3 linked regions of the Drosophila melanogaster genome follow. The protein of the gene in region 1 purifies or fractionates together with the protein of each later gene. This does not show direct contact. Each region holds a gene or a part of one and is shown on either strand. Other genes may lie near its edges.

The links. The genes of interacting proteins can lie anywhere in the genome.
Region 2: the proteins of GstO3 (region 1) and dUTPase purify together in Drosophila melanogaster (affinity purification with mass spectrometry, with the first as the bait; one large-scale study listed by BioGRID). This does not show direct contact.
Region 3: the proteins of GstO3 (region 1) and RhoGDI purify together in Drosophila melanogaster (affinity purification with mass spectrometry, with the first as the bait; one large-scale study listed by BioGRID). This does not show direct contact.

The regions. Positions count from the first base shown.
Region 1 is NT_037436.4:8,516,384-8,521,354, forward strand, and holds GstO3 (glutathione S transferase O3), read left to right. Parts: upstream 1-2,501; 5' UTR 2,502-2,570; coding exon 2,571-2,598; intron 2,599-3,128; coding exon 3,129-3,826; 3' UTR 3,827-3,912; downstream 3,913-4,971. Other genes in the region: CG6765 (uncharacterized protein), read left to right, coding at 1-67, 130-683, 817-875, 933-1,034, 1,089-1,275; se (sepia), read left to right, coding at 4,207-4,234, 4,291-4,859, 4,917-4,971.
Region 2 is NT_033779.5:11,009,742-11,013,325, forward strand, and holds dUTPase (deoxyuridine triphosphatase), read left to right. Parts: upstream 1-1,570; 5' UTR 1,571-1,699; coding exon 1,700-2,266; 3' UTR 2,267-2,394; downstream 2,395-3,584. Other genes in the region: Nup154 (nucleoporin 154kD), read left to right, coding at 1-18; Art8 (arginine methyltransferase 8), read right to left, coding at 170-1,156, 1,213-1,251.
Region 3 is NT_037436.4:19,926,818-19,934,120, forward strand, and holds RhoGDI (RhoGDI), read left to right. Parts: upstream 1-1,925; 5' UTR 1,926-2,091; intron 2,092-3,997; 5' UTR 3,998-4,013; coding exon 4,014-4,197; intron 4,198-4,270; coding exon 4,271-4,380; intron 4,381-4,445; coding exon 4,446-4,560; intron 4,561-4,873; exon of another isoform or gene 4,874-4,920; coding exon of another isoform or gene 4,921-5,025; exon of another isoform or gene 5,026-5,095; intron 5,096-5,164; coding exon 5,165-5,361; 3' UTR 5,362-6,113; downstream 6,114-7,303. Other genes in the region: Grasp65, read left to right, coding at 1-62; CG8004 (uncharacterized protein), read right to left, coding at 738-1,463, 1,537-1,620; CG46462 (uncharacterized protein), read left to right, coding at 4,921-5,025.

The sequences.
Region 1 (4,971 bases):
CGTGAGCGGAACGAGGTGGGCCTGGTCTTCGAGCGACGTCTGAGGAGGGAGAGCGCATGCGAAAGATGTGAGTAAGAGTACTCAGCACAGCTGCTAATGATGACTAATCCCATGTTTTATTCCCCTCAGCTCGGGACTACTATGAAGCACCACACTTTGAGCACGTGGTATCCTCTCGCCTGGCAGCCACACCTCCGCCACCACCACAGCAGGCACCACCATCACATCCGCCGACCCTTCGACATCCGCACAACTTCCTCACCATCAAACAGGAGCCGACCGACTGGAGCAACAACCCACCAAACGCCTCCAGTGCGTCCAACAACAACAATCTGGAGGAGTTGCCATTGGCTTCGCCCAAGCAGCCACTCGACTTCAAGATGTCCGCCGTGAAGCTGGAGGTGAATAGGGATCGCGGAACACCCTCCGAGGAGAGCGAGGAGCACACGCTGCGCGACTATAACAACTTCAAGCAGCTGCTGGTCTGCGAGATCTGTCAGAAGTCCTTCGAGGACACCAAAATGCTGGTCCGTCACCTGGGCACACATGCCGGCGATCCCACGGGCGGCACGGAGAGGAATCTCCTGCCATCCAGTGCCAGCGGGAGCACCACATCCGCCTCCAGCAACCTCGCCCTGCGATCTGTTAAAACCTATGTGCCAAAGAAACGACGTCGCGTTTCGGTGAGTACTTGGACAGCAACTCATCCCTTTAATAAATCCAAATCTACTGAAGTATGATTTTAACTCGTAGTGATGATCGGTTACCAATATCTATTGGATGTATTAAAACCAGATTATATATTGTGTTTTTCAGCAACAGGAGAACAATATGGATCACGATCACGTAACTCTGCTCTGCGATTTGTGTTCCACGTAAGTGTTTGGAGTTATAGAAGCAAAATATATACTAACTCCCTTTCCCATGTGCAGATCCTTTGATACGCCGGCGGAGTGGGTGCGCCACATGAACAGCCAGCACACGGAGATCGAGTTGGCCATGTTCAACAGCAAGAAGGATGGCGAGCAGAAGGGGTGTGTGTCCTAAGGGCTAGCAAAAGCACACTGATGAACTCTGTTCACTTGCAGCCAGCAGCCACCGCCACCGCCGGCGACCAGCAGCTCTTCCACAGTGTCCAACAGCCAAATGCAGCCAAAGTATCCCAGCTCCACCGCCACCAGATCGACGCACTCCCTCATGCTGCACAAGATGAGCAACAGCGATGCAGTGGCCACAACCACATCTCCTGGAGCATCCACCTCACCGAATGGCTAAGGCCAGCCATAGGGATCAACTTCAAAGAACCATTGGACCATTGGCGAATGAAGCTGAAGGATTCGAAACCGGATGCCCATGGATAAATTTGAAAACAGCCATATTCTTCATTCATTTTCAAAAATCTCAAGTCGTTCCAATAATCAAAAGTGAGATGGATGTTTATATGCAACAGCAAGAACCGTGATCAAAATGCAACCAGTTTGCATATTTTATAGAGCAACAAACAAAATACAAATTGCGAACAAAAAAAAATTAACGAAACTATAAACGAAACTTAGAATGGAAATCGTCAGGCAACGATGCAAAACAAGACAAAGCAAGAAATTCAGAAACGAAAGCAAAGCAACATTTAACTCCAGTGTGTAGAATTTTTTTAAGTGTACGTATTTACTTAGTTTTAGCTATTTATCCCATGTATTTACCGTAACAACAACGCGCAATTGATTCGGGAAAAAAAACGATACAGTTTAATCATTAAATTTTAATGTTTACCATTTGCGGACATTTTTAAAATGAATTAAAAACTAAAAATTAATCATCCACTTGAGTTTTCAAAAGGATGCATCAAAAGAAATCCCATTTGTAGGACCAAAAGCAGCGAAAGGATCTTTTTACATTTTGATAAACAATTAATTCCAGCAGCAAGTGTAGTTGTCATTATTTATTACTTTCCAATTTGGTTTTTCGAATGCAATTACTGATAACAACTATTTATCGCGACTCAATGATGTCAGCAACTCTGTTGTATATGTATTAATACTTTTTTGTATTTTTTGTAAGGCATGAACGGAAATTTCGAGAACTTTTTTGTACATAGATTAAGTTTGATTTCGAAAGTCCGCCGATCGAAACTTTTTACGAAAAGTTCATAAACTTAAAACTCTAAATGTACGTAGTAGTTCCGAGGTTCAATTAAAAACAAAAATAAAGCTCCCCCCAAACCATGTAAAAACAAAATATATCTATATTTACAAACAGGCGTGATTATTAACAAACTAAGTAGATGTACTATGTATAATGCGGAGGAAATGATTGTCTCTTCCCACAAAACAAATCGCAAATGTAGTAAAGCGTTTTAAATCGAAATAAACGTCTGCGATGAGAAATCGTTTTTAAAAGCTAACGAAAACTAAGAGTCACGTCGCAAAAAGCTCGATTATTCTTATTCGCGTTAAAACACAAACAAAAAACTTTATATAAACAGAGCGCCGTCGAAGAGAAAACTCAGTTCGCATTTCACCGTCGACATTTCAACAGTTAAGCGAATTTGTTCAGTTCTGCAATTAAACAAAATGAGTTCTGGTAAACATTTGGCCAAAGGTAAGAGAGCAAGCAAAACCAGTTGTCGCCGCCGCCAAGAGAAACGCCCATGTCATTAGAGTGTTTATAGTATTATTTATAAAACAAGTTCTCCAACATTCAGCGTAATTATCGAATAACGATTTTTATATTTCATAATGTTAAAGAATATTGGCATGAATAACTGGGATTTTTTGGTTAAAAAGTTAGAAAGGTATATTATTTGGTAAATTTCAATACGATCTTTATTCTTTTACAATTGTAGGTAATGCATTAAATTAATTATTTGATTTGTAAAATTTACTTACATTTTTAGCTATAGCTTTCACCCCGATATCAGATAACCCATAATATTTACACTCTAAAAGATAACGTAGCTACAAAATTTGAGCTTTATCACGACTGGGCCCTATCAACATTAACTTAAGTGCAATGACTTGCTAAACAAATAATAATACAGGGGTGGATTTTAGGGTTCCACAAGTGACTCATGAAGTTATTGATTTATTTGTATAACCTAAATTTAACTGGTAAATAAATTCTATCTTTAGGTTCCCCCAAGCCTGTACTCCCTGACGATGGAGTCCTTCGCCTGTACTCCATGAGGTTCTGTCCCTACGCTCAGCGGGCTCATCTCGTCCTGAACGCCAAGAATGTGCCCTATCACAGTGTCTACATCAATCTCACCGAGAAACCAGAGTGGCTGGTGGAAGTGAGTCCGTTGCTTAAGGTGCCTGCCCTGCAGCTGGTGGCGGAGAAGGGTGAGCCCTCGCTCATCGAGTCGCTGATTATTGCCGAGTATCTGGACGATAAGTACCCGGAGAATCCGTTGCTGCCCAAGGACCCATTGAAGCGGGCACAGGACAAGATTCTGCTGGAACGTTTCAGCAGCATCACCAGTGCCTTCATAAACATCCTTGTGCAGGGCACCGGTCTGGAGGATTACTGGACGGCACTTGATATCTTTGAGGAGGAGTTGACCAAGCGGGGCACCCCATATTTTGGCGGCAACAAGCCGGGATTCGTGGACTACATGATCTGGCCCTGGTTCGAACGCCTCTCTGTAATCGAGTTGAAGTTGCAGAAGGAGTACAACTTCAACGAGAGTCGTTTCCCGAAGATCACCAAGTGGATTGCCCTCCTGAAGGCGGACTCGGTGGTGCAGTCCTTCTATGCCACTCCCGAGCAGCACAACGAGTTCTGGCGCACCCGCAAGGCCGGCAATGCAAACTACGATCTGCTGGCTTAGATCGGTACTGAAAATGAAACTATTATATAACAAAGGAGATTTAATAATGTTCTAAAAACAATAAAAACTAAAATATTTTATGTGACAAAGAAATGAATTAAGGCTAGAAAGGCAAGAATTCCGTTCCAGATTCACAGAACGTGGTTCGAAAAACTTAGTTCTTAAAAAGTTTTGTTTTAAACAAATATTTTGGAGCAATATGCAGGTTGCAAGGGGGCTTCACTGTATCCACATGGCTTGGTATGTGTGTCAGCCGCAAGCCACCAAGTTCAGCCGCGTAAGCGAAGCCAACCGGCGAAGGGCAGTGAGCTGCACTTTATAAATCACTCGAATGACAATCGCTATCACCACTTGCATCTCTGGACCCGAGCACGCACATCATGAGTAACGGCAGGCATTTGGCAAAAGGTGGGTAGAGCCAGGAAACCAGGATAATCATAATTGATAATAAATGCGCCCACTAGGCTCACCCATGCCGGATGTTCCCGAAGATGGTATCCTTCGCCTGTACTCGATGCGCTTCTGCCCATTTGCCCAACGGGTGCATCTGGTCCTGGACGCCAAGCAGATCCCGTATCACAGCATCTACATTAATCTCACAGACAAGCCGGAGTGGCTGCTGGAGAAGAATCCACAGGGCAAGGTGCCGGCTCTAGAAATCGTGCGAGAACCTGGACCACCTGTGCTCACAGAGTCGCTACTGATTTGTGAATATCTGGACGAGCAGTATCCATTGCGACCACTCTATCCACGTGATCCGCTGAAGAAAGTGCAGGACAAGTTACTAATCGAGCGATTTAGAGCGGTGTTAGGTGCCTTCTTCAAGGCATCCGATGGCGGTGATCTGGAGCCCTTCTGGAGCGGCCTGGACATCTACGAAAGGGAGCTGGCTCGACGTGGTACGGAATTCTTTGGTGGCGAGCAGACGGGCATTCTGGACTATATGATTTGGCCCTGGTGTGAGCGCCTCGAGCTCCTTAAGTTGCAGCGTGGAGAGGATTATAACTACGATCAGAGTCGCTTCCCCCAGCTGGTGAGCAGGTCCGTGTATCCCAGGAGTGATGAAGTACATTAGTATACCATTTTTCAGACCCTTTGGCTGGAACGCATGAAACGAGATCCGGCTGTGATGGCCTTCTACATGG
Region 2 (3,584 bases), on another chromosome or scaffold:
CAGCGGTTGTTGATTTAAAGCCGTCGGCCTGCGTTATTTTAATTAAATTTTTGAAAGTGCTGGACTAGACGTTAAGTTTGACTGAGATATATATTGTATTTGTATTAAACATGTTAAATAAATTGATTTCCCCACAGATCGTTGTTCGGATTCCGAGATGGCATGTAACTCATGAGGTGTCCATCATTTTTAGATGAGCTTCCGTCAGAATGCACTTCGTCATGTGACAGGAGCAAGGCACTGGATGCTCCTCTGTGTTGGGGTCTAGCAAATCCACCTCCAGATTGTATTTACGCATATCGGCAGCACTGCGCTTCATTGTGATTTGAAATGCAATGGGTGACTTCTCCTCCAGATTTTCGCAGGATTCCTCGGGCAGGACGACTACACACTGCTTCCAATGCGTTGGCGGGGATAGCGGCGATGTGCTTAGAACAAAATCTTCGCCAGGAAACTGTACATCGAACCAAATGCAGAAGCCCTGGTGATTGCCCGCCTTCTGGGCTGTTATTACCTCCTTGAACTGAATGCTGTCCAAATCGCTGGCTTCCACATCCAGCAGATTCATCCAGTGAAAGACGACGCCCTCGTGCAGAAGATCTTGCGGATTCAGCTGTGTAATCTCCGGTCGGGATGACTTTTGGGTTCTGAGTTTTCTGGCAAACGTGTCCATTTTGATGCCGTCCACGTTGTGCCAATCATCGAAGAGCGATGGTACCGAGCAGGGTGCCACGAAAATTGTGCACTCGCTGGGGAACAGGAGTCCACCCTCCTTGAGGAACTTGTCCCGGGCCAGGAGAACCGAGTCCAACATGCCCTCGTGCAGCAGGTAGAAGCCCATCCACTCGGACACAATGATGTCCACCTTTTCCGCCTCGGCAGGCAGTACGAATTCCTCAACACGCGACTGGATCACCTTCACCACGTTCGTCAGGCCGTTATCCTCAATCAAATCCAGCGCAACTTTGGTGGCCACATTGGATGCTTCTACGGCGTAGACCAAACGGGCTCCTGCTTTCGCACAAAAGGCGGACAGAATCCCTGTGCCGGCACCAACATCCATTACGATCTTGTCCTTGAACAGATCCTTATTCCCCAATATCGCATTGTAGTAGGCTTCTTGCCGAGGACGATCCTTCAGCATGAGCTCGTGGATCTGTAGTTTGGTCACTATGAGTACAGTTTCACAAGAAGATCTATAATCTTATTTACCTCCAAGTTTTCATACTCATCGAAATAAGTGTTCGCCATGATTTAAAGTTGCAGTTATCAACACATTAACATTAACGCATCAAGTGAATTTTTCAAAACAACGTGCTAAATAGAGGTGTGTTAATCAACTACAATAGTATCGATATATCGATAGGGTTGCTTATCAGGGTTGGTTGTGATTGGTCGTTTTACTTAATAAAATCAATTTGATTTATTTATTAATGCCTAAATTATTGTTTTATTTATTATTTGTTTAATTAAACTCAAGGCATAGTTGTATATATGTTTTTTAGAAATGCAAAGCTGACTTAAGATTTTTTGGTAGATTTTCGGCGATTTGTACTTTTGGTATCTTGCAACACTGGAAGTCCGCCAATTTTCCGACGCTGTGTTAAACCGCGTTATTTTCAGACCAGAATTCTGCAAGTAAGCTGAAAAAAGTCTCTGTACTTTCGAAGCATTCCTGTAATAACTCAATTTGCTCCAAATGCCATCAACCGATTTCGCCGACATTCCAGCTGCCAAGAAGATGAAGATCGACACGTGCGTCCTGCGATTCGCCAAACTCACCGAGAATGCTTTGGAGCCGGTGAGGGGATCCGCCAAAGCGGCGGGAGTTGACCTGCGCAGCGCCTACGACGTTGTGGTGCCGGCACGCGGAAAGGCCATTGTCAAGACCGATCTGCAAGTGCAGGTTCCGGAGGGCTCCTACGGACGCGTAGCCCCACGATCCGGGCTGGCGGTGAAGAACTTCATTGATGTGGGCGCCGGTGTGGTGGACGAGGATTATCGCGGCAATCTCGGCGTCGTCCTGTTCAATCACTCAGATGTTGATTTCGAGGTGAAGCATGGCGACCGCATCGCCCAGTTCATTTGCGAGCGTATCTTCTATCCGCAACTGGTGATGGTGGACAAACTGGAGGACACCGAGCGCGGCGAGGCAGGATTCGGTTCCACCGGAGTCAAGGATCTGCCGGCAGCCAAGGCGCAGAACGGCAACGGAGAAAAGGCTGCCGAACCGGAGGGAGCTGCTCCGGCTCCTGTTGCTACGTAAACGAGGAACTATTGCCGCATTCTTAATCCCTTCATGGTCACTATCAAAGAGTTTCATTCTGTATCCTTAAGTGAAATATGTTAATGTATTGGTATATTTTTATCTATTAAAACCGCAAATCTACGAAGAAATGTTTCCCATAGTGTCATTAGATTGACTGGTGGATGGTGGATCACTAGATTTCCTGGATATGCATTGCATACTTTTGGCATGTTATTTCTAAAAGGCTTTTATTTTTCTTTATTTAAAAAATTTGTGTTAGGTTTTTCAGGCAGCTTAAACAATTATTCCTCACTTATGAGGTAACTGGTAAATAACTTATATCCTTTGAATACTTTTTTATGCACGCAATTTCTGAGCTAAATATTTATATCGATTTTCATCAAGCCAACCAATTTTAACTAAATGTCTTTACTAAGGACCTTTTACTAAAATGTATCAGGAGTAATGTTATCGAAACATACATAAATTATTTACAATTCATTTCCATATTTAGGCAATGAATGGGATGTGTCTTCATTTTGGCTTTTTCAAAAAATTGCACTGACCATCCATCCAGAATTATGGATCTAGTTTAAGGTTAATATACATACATATGTACAGCTGTAACTTGTATTGCATATTTAAGTAGGCATGAAGGGCCGCGAAAGGTTAACGCTTGGTGCTAACTATATTCTAGTAACTAGAAGTACTTACTTCCAACGGAGTATGTATACAAACCGCTTTAGATCTTCATAAAAAAGGAGTTTGCTGAACAGAAGTCGAGCAATTATGTTTCTGCAAGAGGAAGCCGACTTGGCTTTATGGGTTTTCAAGTGGCTAGGGATACTTGAACCAACCGGACAGGCGCAGTGAGTTATGACCGAGTAATGAGAGCCAAGAAGCGCCAACCGGCGATGGCCCACAATATCAGTTTGCGTGTCTCAAGTGCATTGCTGCACAATTTACGCGGCCGATTTTAATAAATTCAATGACTCCAATTTGTAATTAGACGCTGGAAGGTGCGCTGCGTGCTTTTAATTGTTTTGCAGCCATCCTTGGTTGCCTTTTGGCGCAACGGTTCCGCTTGACCCGCGACGCATCGAGCGCTCCGGAGGTCAGCCGCGTGCCCATAACGCCCCAGTTGGAGGCATTCGCCGCCCACCGATCTGCACTGTGCAACATTCAACCAACTTGCAGTGAGAGTTGCGTTTGGGTTTGTATGATAACTGGTATAATTTATTTGCTTCAGCTTGTGAAAAATAGCTATAGTTCATTAAATGTATAAAATAAATCAAGTTCATTCTCATCATGCCTATTTTGTAGAAATATGCTTCTG
Region 3 (7,303 bases), about 11 Mb from region 1:
CTGCTCCGGCGGCAGGCAACGACGAACTATCCGGACCGGCAGTGAATCAGGCTGGAAACTAAGACTTCTACTGGGCCAACTGCTAATGGACCAACTGCTAAACCTGGACAAATTGTTAAGCTTTTATTTTCGAGAATCATCTGATTGTTTTGTATGATTGCGTTAGCAAATATCACAAGTGGCGCGATTGGTTCGGCCATCTGCATGCAAAGATGTGTACATTGCATTCATAATAATAATCTAAATTAATTATAACAATAAATCAATAAAACTATATGTGTATTTAAGGTCTTTACATAAACGAGAGTTCAATTTCTTCAAAAGTATGAAAAGGAAAAGGCAGCAATGTTCAAAAATCAAGACTATTTTTTTTTTTGGTTTGCTAAGAAAACAATTTATTTGATGTATTATAGCAAATACTTACACAATTTTATTAGCAGAAAAGTTATTTGCTGCAAAATAAATGAAGTAAAGATCGTTAGAAGTATTTTAGAATTCCATTTAAACAAACTTGCAGATTGAGTCACTTGTGCAAATGATATTCACATGGATTTTTGGACATTAATGGCAGCAAAATCACTAGAACAACTTTTTTTTTTAAATGCTAGTAGCAAAATAATTGTGACTTACGGCGACGATTTGTTTTAAGGGCATTTAGAATTGCATATATAAGCGGTTAAAAAGAAAGGACAAGAGCAACTTAATTGATAAGCATTTAAGGCAACGACTACGTATAACTAATTTGGTAGGCACCTCGTCTGAAAGTACTTCTCATCGACGAAGCGACAGAACTCGACCAAGTGCTGGAACTTCTGCACCGTTTGGGCCAGCGCCATGTTCGGCAGCGTGGTGGTCAGAATGCTGAAGAGGTGGCCGAAGGCGATGGCGTCCAGTTCGCAGGGCTGATCGCCGTAGAAGAATGGCGTTTCCGGCGACTCTTTCAGCTTGTATTCGAGCGTCTCACAGCACTTGGCCACCTTGTCAATGACGCTATCGATGTCCAGGTCGTCCCACTGATAGACCTTCAACAGACGCAGCGCGTTCCGCCGCTTTCCATAGTTCTGCATGTGATTGAGGGGCCAGGGAAAAACGACTCCGTTCCTGGGCGCTGTGACCTCTTTGTAGACGCGTTCGTTCTTGAAGCTAATGTACAGCTCAGCCATGGTGAAGATGTTCTCCACCAGCGACACATAGGTGCGCATGTCGGCCTTCTCGTCCTCGTCCTGCCAGCTGCCAATGGCCAGTTCCTTCTGCTCCACAAAGTTCACGATCGGCTCGAATTCGGCAAAGATGAATGCTCCTGCGCGGATGAAGGGCAACTTGGTCATCCTGCCGCCCGGCGACATGTGCTCCGCGTTGGCACAGGACCGAATCAAAAAGGGGAGGTTGCACATCTTCAGGTAAGCCTTCACAGCAAGGCAACTGGCGTTTTCCGGCAGTAGGATCTGTTCCGCTTCATACGGCTGTTTTTTTTAATGCACATTAATGAAAGGTTAATGTTAGTGAAGATTCTGGACCTATAAACCAGGACCTTACCTGGTAGAGGGTGGCGTCTTCGGGCCAGGGCTCGGCGGACAATTTGTCGGCCGTTATTAGCTGGCTCAGGTACTGGGATGTCATTGTAAATTAACGGAGTAAATTGTGTTTTTCAACTTGCACACCGAAATCGCCGATGAAGTAACAAGCAGCTGTTTGTCGGCGTTGCCAGACTGTTGCAGACAATGACCAAACAGCGATTCTTATTAGAAATTGCATTTCAGCAAGATTCGTTAAACTAATTAATAATTTCTTTTTAAACCCATACTTACAAAGTATAAAATAGATTTAGGGGAAGCTGTTTCAAAACTAAAAACTTTTTCGAAAAGCAAGTATTTTTGGACAGCAGTGTGAACGGATGACTTCTTCAAGTCCATCTCGCGTTTTGGTATTCTGTCCACCAAAGCATACGTTCACACTTGTAATTCTTATTTTATATTATTTGCTTTGTTTAAAAGTTAGTTATCAAAAGTTGTTAAAAATATAACATACAGTTACTTTTCAGTGATTAATTTTCAGAGATCGTACTATTTGATTAATTTCGCATATTAAAAGGTGAGTGCGCGTCGTTGCCAACTTGCAACTGTGTGTGTGTGTGAGTGCGGTGCCTTCCAATGCATTTTACATAAAAAAAATATTTATAATATTATTATATTAATTTAATACAAGCTGGCATTGATAGCAAATGTATGTAGTTGGGTGACTGCAGGCCAAGAACCACTCCCAAAAATTCTACTTGAAAATCAGTGACGATTCATGTGCCGGCCTCAGTGTGAGTGTGTGTGTGTGTGAGCTGGTGTGTGTGATTCATTCGTCTGGGGTTTTAACATTCTTCGTGCACATTTCTTTATCAAAAAAAGAGAAGAAAAAAAAGTGGCATGGTTCGTACTTTTCCCTGAATTATCCCCACACTTTGTCTTTGGCGGGGGGTCCTCTCTCTCTCTCTCTCTCTCTCTCTCTCTGGCAAGCCCTCTCGCTTGCACTTCCTTCGACGCTGGCACATTTGTTTGGAATTCAAATTTTCAGTTCGGTCAGATTGTTCTTGAAATTACCTTTTCTCACCCATCCTTAATTGTTGCGATTGTATTTATTGGCCCAAACTTGCGTTGTTAGTCCGAAAATTTTTTGTTTATTATTTTTTGCCATTCCCACACAAGCACGGAGAGAAATTGTGAGTGCTTTTCATATGCCTAATTTGGAAATATTACGATGAGATCTAAAAACCGATACTAAGATTCAAACTATTGATTTTTAAGCACCAATAATATTTACATTTACAAGTAAAAAACAGATAGATAGATAGATAAATATTTATTAGCTTTGAGAATTTCAAAATATGTTTTGTATAAAATTGAGAAATACATCATTATTACTACTGTATGTACACATGGGCCTGCAAAATCGTTTTGTATAGACACAATTTTATTACCTCAACAACAACTCGATGTCAAGTAATAACAATTCAATTTCATGTATTTTTTTTGCCCGGGTACACTGCATATGTATGTACATATATATAAAGCCAAATCTGGAGAATCGAGAATTATTATTGGCCCAACAACATTCGTTGAAAATGGACAGAGAGCTGGCGACGTGTATTTAGATAGTGGAAAACAAAGCAAGATAACAATAAAGCCATTTTCCGGGGGGCGGTGGGTTTGGCTTTTTGTCGCCAGTTCCCAGTTCTGGTCAATATTATTCAATGCCGATATCCGCTCTCTCTCCCTCCGTCGAGTTCGCCTGCCTTATCTAACTGCCGCTCCGTATTTGGTTGAACCTTTTTTTTTACTTTGCGAGCGGACCAGCTGCAGGTCGAGCGCCCCTCTCTGCCCCGCCCCCTAGACAGAGAACACGTCAGTTCATCAATGCGTTAATAATTGAAATTTAATCAATATTATTGAACGGGCTTATGAAGTGGCTACATTTGTTCGCAACGGAGGCACTCGTGTTGCCAAAAAAGTAAATAAACCCGCTTTATGGCCAGCGAATGATAACGTAATCAGTAGCGAAGTATATGGAATATGTTTGCGATCGTTGTTATTTGAATTTCAATATTTAACATTGTAATTTGTAGAAACAAATGTACTAACTACTCAACTATATATTTAGATGGCAGGTTTTTTTTTCGAATTTCTTCCCTGCATTGTTAAGTTATGAGCTCAACTCTCCTTAGGGCGACAATTTTCAGAAGAAAAAACACTCTTCCTACATTTTTTGAATGAGGAATACTTTCATACACTCCGATACGATGTAGCAGATATGGTGGCGCACATGCCATTAAAATGGAGGCATATACATATGTGTATAAAACAACATCATTATCGTCAAAATGTTACTCACACTACTAAAAATATGCCTATGACCCACAAGCTTCACCCAGAGAAACCGACGCATACTAAGCAAAATCCGAAGCAATATTTAAATGTAATTGATTGATAAACAAACAATTGCCTTTGGACAGTTCTAGGTTAGCAATCATGGCCGAAACAGAGACGAAGCACCATCCCGAGCACCACGACGACGATGTCCACGATGCCAACTACCAGGCGCCGCCGGAGAAGACCATCGAGGAAATAATGGCCGCCGATCAGGAGGATGAGAGCTTGCGGCGCTACAAGGAGGCGCTCCTGGGTGCCGCCCAGACCGAGAAAATTATTGTTGGTAAGGGGCGGTTAACTTGGCCTCTGAAAGTGGAGGGTGCAGAATATACTAAAGCAATAACATTTTTACCCAGAACCCAATGATCCCCGAAAAGTTATTGTAAAGAAACTGGCCCTCGTTGTCGAAGGACGCGACGACATGGAATTGGATCTTACCGGTGACCTTAGTCAGCTGAAAAAGCAGGTAAATATCATTAACCATCATCATCCATTCGACTACTTTTGTTAATCAAAACCCTATTGCGACAGCTTTTTGTGATCAAAGAAGGTGTTCAGTACAAGGTGCGCATTGATTTTATTGTGCAGCGTGAAATAGTCCATGGCCTTAAGTATGTTCAAAAGACTTCTCGCTTGGGTGTTAATGGTGAGTATTTAAACATGACATTTGTATTTTTAATTGGCAGAATATAGAATAGATTTACACTCTCAATTCTATCAACATTATATGTCTTTACTTAGGGCAAAGCAATTATATTTCTTTTTTGTCCTACCCTAATTTTCTATTAATTGATTTATTTATTTACTGACCTAGTGCCCTAGTATTGTAAGAATAAAATTAAATTAAAACCGGGTCAAAAGATACTTGTTTTTAGTTATTTTCCATACGTTACACTATGCGAGCACTTCTAGGTCTTCAATTTTCCGTGCTGACGCGAAATCGTTAGTATTACACCTCAGTTTTTGATTGACTTTTGTGCGGGCTAGTCGAGTTTTGTTTCTAGCAATGGGTAAAAGCTGGTTCAATGGCACAACCATACTGGTGGGATTTTGCAGTGCTGCCTATATCCTTTTTTTCACAATTGCCATACTAACTTTAGTCATGTGTTGAGAATAACTTGTATTCCATTATCTCCAATGCCAAACCCTAATTTCGGAATGTATAATTTTTTAAGTTGTGGGTAAGCTGGTGCAGCCCATCCGCAAATGTGTATCCTTACTAAACTGACTGTTTTCGCATTACTCCATAGTTGACAAGATGAAGCATATGGTTGGCTCCTATCCGCCGAAGAAGGAGATTCAGTTCTATTTGACGCCCGCCGAGGAGGCACCTTCAGGCACATTCTCCCGCGGCACCTACTCGGTCAGTTCGGTCTTCACGGATGACGACAAGCACATACACCTGGAGTGGGACTGGACCTTTGAGATCAAAAAGGACTGGGCCTAATTGGCACACCGAACAGCACACAACAAACACACACGACACACAACTTACAACATACATCATACGCTTTTTGTTTTCCCTCAAACATGCCTTGTAAATGAGTTTAGTTTTGTTCCAAAAGTGTAAGCGAATTTTTCCAAAAGTGTAATTGATCGTCAAGTATTTTTGTTAACGGTATTAAATTTTAAATATTTTTGTAACTAAAGTGTAATGTAAAGCCATGATAAGTATTTTTGATACCCTATTTGCAATTGGAATGTGTGCAGATGAAGAGCATTTTTCGCCTAAGTCCTCCTCAATGAGAGTCAAGTCAAAACCAAGTCAAGTCACTAGGCCAGTCAGTCAGTCAGTCAGCCAACCAGTCAGTCAGACAGTCAGTCGTTTGGTTCTTAATGCCATTGCCTATGTTTAACATACATTTTCAAACAGATTAACAATTGAGTAATTAACTTTAAGAAAGTTGTTTGCATTTCGCTGTGTATTTCAAATTGAAGAATGGAATAGTTTATTGTAAGAACAAGTCGCCTCAAAACTAAAAAGAAACCGATTAAAATCGTGCAACACGAACTGTTAAATGCAACTAAAGCTGATGCTTTATTATGCATTTGAAGTTTGTGCAACATGGAGTTACTTAAATCCACATTATTCTAACTATATATCTCTGTGTATTTTTTGTGTACAACATACCATATATGCGAAAGCTGATTGAATGCAACCGAAGAGCAATAAAGAATAAAGGATACATATTTTAAAATAAATGCCTAAGTGAGCGAATTCTTTTTCCATGATATGGGTATCCCATAAATTATAGTGGCAGTGTGTGCACAGATTTCTCCGTAGCCAAAGATAAGTTGACTTCACACTTTATAATGCTTATCAGCTTACATTGCCAAGGGGCAAACGTCATAAATTGTGGCCAGCAGAGCGAGTATTACTCATCCGCCCTGTGAACGGTCACCAAATATTTTTCAAGGTGTACAAAAGAGAGAATTTGTGAAACACACTTCTCTGTTTACATTCGCAACCAGCAACAAGTGGCCAGCCTCTTGTTGCGCCAGACATTAGCAGCATGTTGCCCAACAATCGCCGCTTCAGAACAGAAAATAATAATAACCGCATTTTATATTCCAACGCACATTTGTCTTCAGAGTCGCGAAAACCTGCATGAATAAGCAAGTTACTTTTTCGGAAATTGCTATAGTTGCCAGCAGAAAAATGGTGTAATTTAAGAAAAACAAATCATTTGTGTTTTCGGTAAATGGCCTGGGGCATTCGTATGTTTTTTGGGGTCCTTTAAGGGTGCGATTTTCCAGGATGTGGAACAAAACAATCAGAAAAATAAGTACACACTGTTTTCATTACGTGAGAAGTAATTACAGGTAAGCAACTAACAAAAACTTACATGTATACATAAGAGAAGTCTTGCTTGTTTCGCCATTTTCATATATTTCCTCATAGCAAAAAATTATATATACTATATCTTTTAATTCACTCAAATGGTTTAGCAGATATATGTCTTTTGGTATGGCCGTTCAGCTCGACTACTCTTAACATTACCTTTGAAATACCAATATTTTTGCATCAAACAGGAACGTCTATCTCTGTCCGTCGAGGATGTTTTGATTGACAGACGGCCCGTCGAATTTCAGCCTTCAATCGCATTGTTCAATCCGACATTCCAACATTCCGCACTCCCCATTGTGTGGCAATGTGGCCTTTTGGCCCAATGCTGCCAATTGTCCCGCCGCTGCACCTTTATGGTCCATTGCATCCGGGCTGGGGCTCAATGAAATTTGCAGCAAAGCTGCTGAGCCAATGGAAAAAACAGGAGCCGTCCAGAATGCGGATAATAAAGTAGAAATGAAATGCAATCAAAGAGCAGGCCAGAAAGCGCAACAGGCAAAGTGCTCACACAGCACACGCAAGCGGAAATGCGAATGGTGGC